Caenorhabditis elegans: one gene and its partner. The protein of the gene in region 1 purifies or fractionates together with the protein of each later gene. This does not show direct contact. Each region holds a gene or a part of one and is shown on either strand. Other genes may lie near its edges.

Region 1 (3,292 bases):
AAATTCAAAAACAGCATCGTCCACTGCAGATTTTCGAAATCACACTTAATAATTTGTAATCCAACTTCTAAGAGCATTTTCTTTCTAGATTAACCAGCTACGTAGCAATCTGATCGAAATCTTAAAAATAAAAAAAGTAATATTTGTGAACGTTTTCTTATGTTGGAATTACACATGAATAATGCAATTTTTATAGTTTAGATACAATTTTACCTTTTCCGTTTAGTCTGGTGGTATTCACAGACAAATAACATTAAATTCAATATTCAAATCAAAAAATACGATTCAATTGTGAAATACAAACATTTTATTGAAATCATTTAATGAAAGTGGGTGGGTAGACCAAGAAGGATCATATTTAGCAATAATTTCACAGTGAGTAATTGATTTAAATGGGGAAAAACTCATATTGGCTCTTTGCTCTATCGAACTCCGAATTTCTTCATGGCTACTGTACCTAAAGAACTGTAGCATCTCAATTAAACTCGTTTTCGATGTGCTTTCCTCCCTGATATTATCTATTGCCCAGACTAATGATTTCATAAATTATTTGGGTGCCATATGAAATTTTAAAAGTTAAAACTTGAAAATAATTCAGTTCAAAAAGTTTCCAAACCTTAATAACTTAAATTTCAGAATCATCAAGGTCAACTTATCAATAGTATTGATAAAAAGAAATTCCATGTTCTTTGGAAACAATTCTTCCATTCAGAAGATCCATCTAGCCCTGGAAATTGGCTCTTAGGAAAAGTTTAATTGAAATAAATACCTATAATGTATTATTCTTGACTAATTTCGTACCGGTGTGTTTTTTATTTGAAATCTTTATAGTTTCATTCGATTTCTCCTTTCCCCTTTCTCCAAATTCTTTCCCCAATCCCCGCAACATACATTTAAATCACTTATACTTCCATATGCAATGAGCTTTTAAACGATTTATTGTCGTTATTCTTTCAATAAATAAAACTAATCGAAACTTAACTAAGTTTACAGAAAAAAAAATCAAAAAATCAAAAAAAAATACACAGTGGTCTGTTTATACTACAATATAGTAGAAATGGAACCCGATGAGAAGGGGAAGTCGTTGTGAGACCCGTTTAGACTGTAACAGGAAAATGATGAAATGATGTGAAGAAGTGCAACAATTAAAGTAGATCAAATATGGTGATTCTAACCCATTACAATGTTTCCACCAATTCGTCGACTCTGAAAGTATGAGAAAGTAAGAACATGTTTCAGATAATTAATAAAATAAACAAACCTTTGGACTTTTATGATGTCTGTGAGAAGGAAGTCTTTGTTCAAGAATATTCTCTAGACTTGCAATATTTCGAACAGCGTTCTGTCGGATTACTTCAAAATCTCGAATATCATAAGCCATTAGAGTGCAGATTGCATTGCAAAGAACAAGAAAATAGATGAAAATCCGCATTATAGAAGAAAGCAAAGGGTGTATGAAACTGAGTTGGTGTCACCCACAGAGCAAGTCCTTTATATGTCGCATGTGCCAGATTAAAGCAGACGACGACTTGCTCCGCCCATTTCAGTACTTTCTTCTCGAGCTCCGCCTATTTGGGGGGAGGAGGATTTTGCTGGAAATCGGATGAATGATAGTAGGGTGGTAATCGGATAATGCAAATAAAAAACATTTTAGCAGACATGTTCAAATGATGACAGAGAGACATAAGCGGATTTTAATATGACAGATGCTTTTGACATATATCATGAATAATCGAAACAATGTTCAACGCAGTTTCTTTGCGTGGGAATGAGAGGTTCAAAAGATATTATGATATCATCTAGGAACTTGATGGTCCGAAAAGATAATTTTATTAAATTAAGAACGGCAAAACTTTTGATTTTTTTTTCAATTTTTAGAGCTTTTGGATAATTTTTCAATTTACTCCAATATGAAAATTGCAAGATCCATCAGCTGCTAGCACCCACTTCGGAACGTCTTTAATTGGTTTACCAGTCTGTGGAGTTTACGCTGATTCTTCCAGGTGAAATTAAAACAGGGAGACAATTAAAAATTTAAATTGTTTGTCATAAGCTGGACTTTTAGAACGTTTTTTCACAATGATTACATAAACAATCGTTCTCTTTAATTTTTAGGCTCTTCGTGAAATGCCAATTTATCTCAAAAATCGTTTTTATTCCCTTAGAAAATATTTATTTGATTTGAAAAAACATTTTCATTTCCTAGTAGACACATCTATTTCCATCTTTACTCGTAATCTTTCGCCTTTTTCGCAAAATTCAAGACAAACACGGAAATCAGATTTCCTGTGGTTCACAGTTCTTGGAATTTGTTTAAAAGATGTTTAACTGTTTTTTCACGATGAATTTTTGAAGATTTCACATAATTTGATACGGTACTTTTAAATTGGATTGCTTGTCGAGGCATCATCGCACTCATCAAATCTAGTTGTGGGTGTTTGAAGTTTTTAATAAGCAACTAGTATAGTGGGATCTTCAAGGATTTAATAAAGAATCTCAAAGCCAGTTTGTCCGAGAATTTCAAATCAAACACCAATCCGTATCCAGTTTTGACCGATAAAGTACTTAATTTATTGCAGATTTTCTCGTTCACATACCTCACTTCAAAATGGTAAACAAGATATTGATAGGGTGTGAATTTTTAAATAAATTCTTCTTGGATTTGTATTATTATTCTCCTTATCAGAGAAAATATATGAAGGATGAGTTAAATTGGTTGCATGATTTCTAAAGACTACTGATTGTGGGAGAGTCGTCTTTTTGTTGATAAATATATATATAATTTTTGAATAGCACAAAAAACTTTATGTCTTATGGAAAGCTTTTCCTTTTAGTCATTCTAGCACAATGGAGTCTTAAAAAATGATCTAACTGCTTTATTTGGTAGAGATTATATTCATTTCTACAATAATCTTTTTTAAAAAAATTATATAGTTAGGGGGAAAATTATTTTCAGACAGAATAGGTTTTTTTAAAGTTTGTTTCAATCAAATACAAATACAAATACAAAATAAAAATTAAGTGAAATGAAATATGTTTACTAAAAATACACAGAAGAGAACTTTGAACTAGAACAATTGATCTCGGACATTTTTCAAACCATTTTTTTTCCTTGAAAAAATCGGAGCCGCTTTGATCACGTTGGGTGAGACAAATTCAGTTTTTTCTCGAAAAGTTAAAATATCCAAAAGGCTTACTGAATGTTTGCATAAAATACCCTTATAATTTTGATTTTTTTTTTAAATAGCAGCCAGACATAAGATAGCTACAAAGTTTCTGTTATGAAAAGTTG
Region 2 (4,327 bases), on another chromosome or scaffold:
AAAAAATGGAGAAAATAAATTCATTTAGAAAATCGAGCCCGTAAATCGACACAACCTCTACAGTAGCCATGTAAAGAATTACTGTAGTTTTCGATACGAGATATTTTGCGCGTCAAATATGTTACATAATACGCATTCTCCGAATTTTGTGTTCTCGTAACATGTGGAGAGCACACAAAAACAGAAAATCTCCAGATTGGAAACCGAAAGAAATGTTTGGCTGTCGTCCACGTGGCACAAAAGCTTGGCTACACTGTAGTCAGCGTGGGATACGACTATGCCAACAAGGATCATGTATTGAGCAAGACGATCGTTGAAGCTTTGGAAGGAGTTCAGGTTGGCGGGAAATTTAAATATTTCAGAAAATGTTCTAAAATATAAATTCCAGTTTGCTCTGAAAAAGTTCAAGAATGCGAAGAAAATTGTGATTGGAGGACACTCAGTCGGAGCACACCTCGCATTTCAAGGTAATAATTAAACAAAATATTGCAATTAAATCTGGAAGTTTGTAAATTCTTTATTCACAGAATTTATATCAATTATTGTGCAAAACGGGGGCCGGGGTCTTCATATAATATAGAAGAGGTTGCAATACTCTTTCTACAATTTTCTAGCAATATAATAATAAAAATAATAATAGTATACACGTGAGTTGGGTGATGGTGGGGGTTAGGATTCAAATGGAAATGAATAAAAATTGCCTATGTGTATCTAGTACAAGGACATTGATTGGAGCGCTTCGATAATCTTCTTGCCCGACGAAAATCTTTCGAGGCGGTGGGCGTTTCGCATCACTCGTCCGTGAATCTTCTCGAGCCACATGCCGTACATCTCCGATTGCTTTTGATCTCGAGCATTCTGACCGAGAACACAAGTCTGGATCATCTGCTGAACAACGTAGTTTCCATATTGATGGAAGAGCAGAATGTCGAGAGCATCACGATTTGTATCCGGATGTGGAATATATCCTTCGAAGATCTCGTTCATCATCTCGGCAACGAGGCGATATGGAGCACATTCAAACGCCACTTCGACCACGTGGCTAGCGTACTTCTCCTGTGACATTGAGAGCAAATTTTGCCTGGAAATGGAAAAATACATTTGAAAATTTGACTATATAAAACATACAGAAGGCACTGCTCAATGATGATATCTCTGTAGACAGCCAACGCATCTCCACACTTGATAACGTGTTGTACCACGTAGTTCGCAAACTCGTTGGAAGCCAGCTGGGTGCAGTTACGAGTGACTCCAGCCATCAAACTGCGAAGAAGAATGACACGATGCTGGTAGCACTGAGCATATTGATCAGTCGACAAAGTTTCGACGGTCGATTGAATGACACGGCACCCATATTTGTCCTGGCAAACGTGGATGAGATTGTCGTCGTCGGCGAAGAAATCCACGAGGAAAGTCCACGAAGAGACTGGAAGCGTCTTGACAATCTTCTGAATCACGTGGTTTCCGTTTTGATCGATGCTGAGACGGACGAGGTGCGTGTCACGGAGCTCCAACGACAAACGAGTCGCAAGATGAACATCAAGCTTCTGAATAGCCAGTTGAATGACGCGGCACGCACTCTTGTCAAGGCAGAGATTGTACAAATCAGTAGCCAAGTGCTCCGTAAGAATCTCCTGCTCCTCAGTGTTCGAGCACTCCAAGACACGTTGCACAAAGAAGTTGCCAAACATGTTAGAGCAGAGCGACAAGAAGATGGCACGATCCTCGACCAGTTTACGGAAGAGTTTTTGGTGGACGTCGTTGTCGTTCTCCGTTGGATAATGCTCCTGAAGGAATCGGCATCCATTCTTATCGGTGGCAAATTCCACGAGAGCATCGTTGGCGAGCACATCCTGAAGAGTGACCGAGTCCGAGACATTTCCCTCGCCGTCGCCAGCCCAGATTGGAAGTGTGCATTTGTGGCTGCGGGTGGTCGAGCTGAAAATTTGATTATTTTTTTGAAAGTTTTAAAAATTGAGGCTCCAAGTCACTGGAAAACTCTAAACTCACTTCAAAGACTTCGAGAACGAGGCGTTGTTCTCCAAATCGATAAGTCTAACGGCCTGTTGAGGATAACGAGCCGGAGTCGTCATCGGTGTAGAAGTGCGCCATTTGGAGAATTGTCCTCCAAATCCTTGACGATTCGGAGCCCAAGCGCTCTGTGGTGTCGGTGAGGAGCTCCGAAATCCCATCGAAGAGTCCACTTTCCGATTCGGCGTCCAAATGTTGGTGGAGCTGTTGGCGTTGAAGCAACCACCGAATGTGCCACGAGCCTCCGTCGCCGTTGGCGGGCTCTCGTAGTAGCGACCGAGGTTAGAGGAACCGGTGTTTTGACTCATATTGGTACGGAGACTACCTGAAAATTTATTTTTTTGGAAGACATCGACGTTTGAATGGACGGAATAAGTGGAAAATACGATAGAATTAATGAAAATAAGAGAGCAAAATTTTGGGACGCGTCCTCGAAGACAAAAAATGAACAAAAATGAAGAAATCAGGAACCAAAATGCAAAAAATCCCGCGTTAAAATAAAAAATCCAAAATTTCCCGCGCAAAAACGAAATAAAGTACTGTAGAATTTAAAGGCGCATGTCGACGCTGCGCCGATGGGTCTCGCCACGATTGATAAATTTTGCATACCAGGAATAAAATTTATGAAAAGTTCTTGTATTCTCACTCTGTGCAAAAAAATAGCGCTTTTTTTTTGTTAAATCAAAGAAAAAAATATTTCCAGCTGTAACACGGATCCATGACCCCCGAATCAGTGGTGCCTACCTCAGCGCGGGCATCTACAAAATTCAAGAACTGACTTCCACGACTTATGGTCACGATCTTGGGTTGACTTCAGAAGAAGCAGAAACTTGTAGTTGTGATTATGAGCTTATGAAGCATGTCCGGTTCCCGGTGTTAATCGCATGTTGCAGACGGGAATCCCCAAAGTTGTACCAACAAAATCAGGATTTTTCTAGTCAAGTTGCAAATGCTCAGTACAAGGTTTGAGCTATTTTGGACCGAAAAAAAAACCCCGTTTTAGGGTCTTGGCACGATTTTTAAAATATTTTTTTAACGAGTTTCACGCCAAAACCACGTTACCTGGTCTCGACACGATAGATTTTTGCTAAATGAGAACAGATATATGCGCCTTTAAAGATTACTGTAGATTTAAAAATATATTTATTTTATTTGGAAAACTCATATATTACGATAAAAACACATTCTTAAGAAAATAGATTATTTAAAATTCCGCAAAAACCAAATTTCAAAAGTACAGTACTCTTTAAAGGCGCACACCTTTTCATATTCGTCGTGTCGAGACCATGTATGGTATTTTTGACGCAAACCCCATAAAATCTCACGTCTGGATGATAAAACACGAGGAAACAACAAAAATCTATGAAATTTCGAGAAAATTACAGTAGTCTTTTTTTAAAGGCGCACGTATTTTCGCAATCAGCAAAAATTTGTCGCGTCGAGACCATTTTTGTTTCAGGAATACGAAAATGAAGATCATTTCACAATCCTGACAGAGCTCACAAAAGAGGAGAGCATCGTGTACGCCGACTTCTTCAACTTTCTTTATTCAATTTAATTGTACATTTTTTTTTCCAAAAAATAAAAATCAGATTTCTTGTTGGGTGTGGGAAACCTACAAATCTACATGAAAACCTTAAAATATAGCAAATTGTTTAACAAGGTTTCATGACTAAAATGAAGTAAATAGATAGGAAACATGTGGGTTTAGGAGCAAAAAAAAAAAGATACAGACAAGAGTGAATATATATTGAAATTACAAGTATTTTATTATATTTTATTTATGGTAATTGTGGTCCAGTGCCAGAAACGGGAGATTTTGTAGAGAATTGTTGCATCCAAAATGACAATGGTCCAACCACATAATCAATGTCAAGCTGGAATTTTTTTAGTTGTAAAATCTATAATATTTTTGTAAAAAAAAGTACTGTCTAATTTAAAAAAAAAACGAGCGTCGTTTTGCAAACCCGCGGCGCGCTTTTTCAAATAATTTTACAATTTTTTGGCGAAATTCTTGATTTTTGATTATTTTTCGAATTTTTTTTTGTGATTAGCATTTGAAATCGTCAATATAAACCTATTTTAAAAATAATTTTTTTTTATTTGTGGCTCATTTATTTTCCCTACATTTTTCAAGAAAATAACTTTGTTTTTAGCGAATTTCGTGATTTTCTTTGAATTTTTCTGTAAAAAGTAATTTGAAACAATTTTCCAAATTACAAATAAAATTTTGTACATTTTTTTTTGAAAACTGATTTAAAACAATTTTAACACAAAAAATGAAAAGAAAACGACA

What was found. The genes of interacting proteins can lie anywhere in the genome.
Region 2: the proteins of T09A5.14 (region 1) and puf-3 fractionate together in Caenorhabditis elegans (co-fractionation; one large-scale study listed by BioGRID). This does not show direct contact.

What each region holds. Positions count from the first base shown.
Region 1 is NC_003280.10:7,830,531-7,833,822, reverse strand, and holds T09A5.14 (Neuropeptide-Like Protein), read right to left. Parts: upstream 1,470-3,292; 5' UTR 1,433-1,469; coding exon 1,262-1,432; intron 1,207-1,261; coding exon 1,171-1,206; 3' UTR 920-1,170; downstream 1-919. Other genes in the region: cex-2 (Calexcitin-2), read left to right, coding at 637-756.
Region 2 is NC_003282.8:13,509,807-13,514,133, forward strand, and holds puf-3 (PUM-HD domain-containing protein), read right to left. Parts: upstream 2,357-4,327; 5' UTR 2,340-2,356; coding exon 2,011-2,339; intron 1,939-2,010; coding exon 1,129-1,938; intron 1,082-1,128; coding exon 712-1,081; 3' UTR 501-711; downstream 1-500. Other genes in the region: afmd-2 (Alpha/beta hydrolase fold-3 domain-containing protein), read left to right, coding at 196-336, 389-467, 2,735-2,994, 3,491-3,589; m7GpppN-mRNA hydrolase dcap-2, read right to left, coding at 3,813-3,908.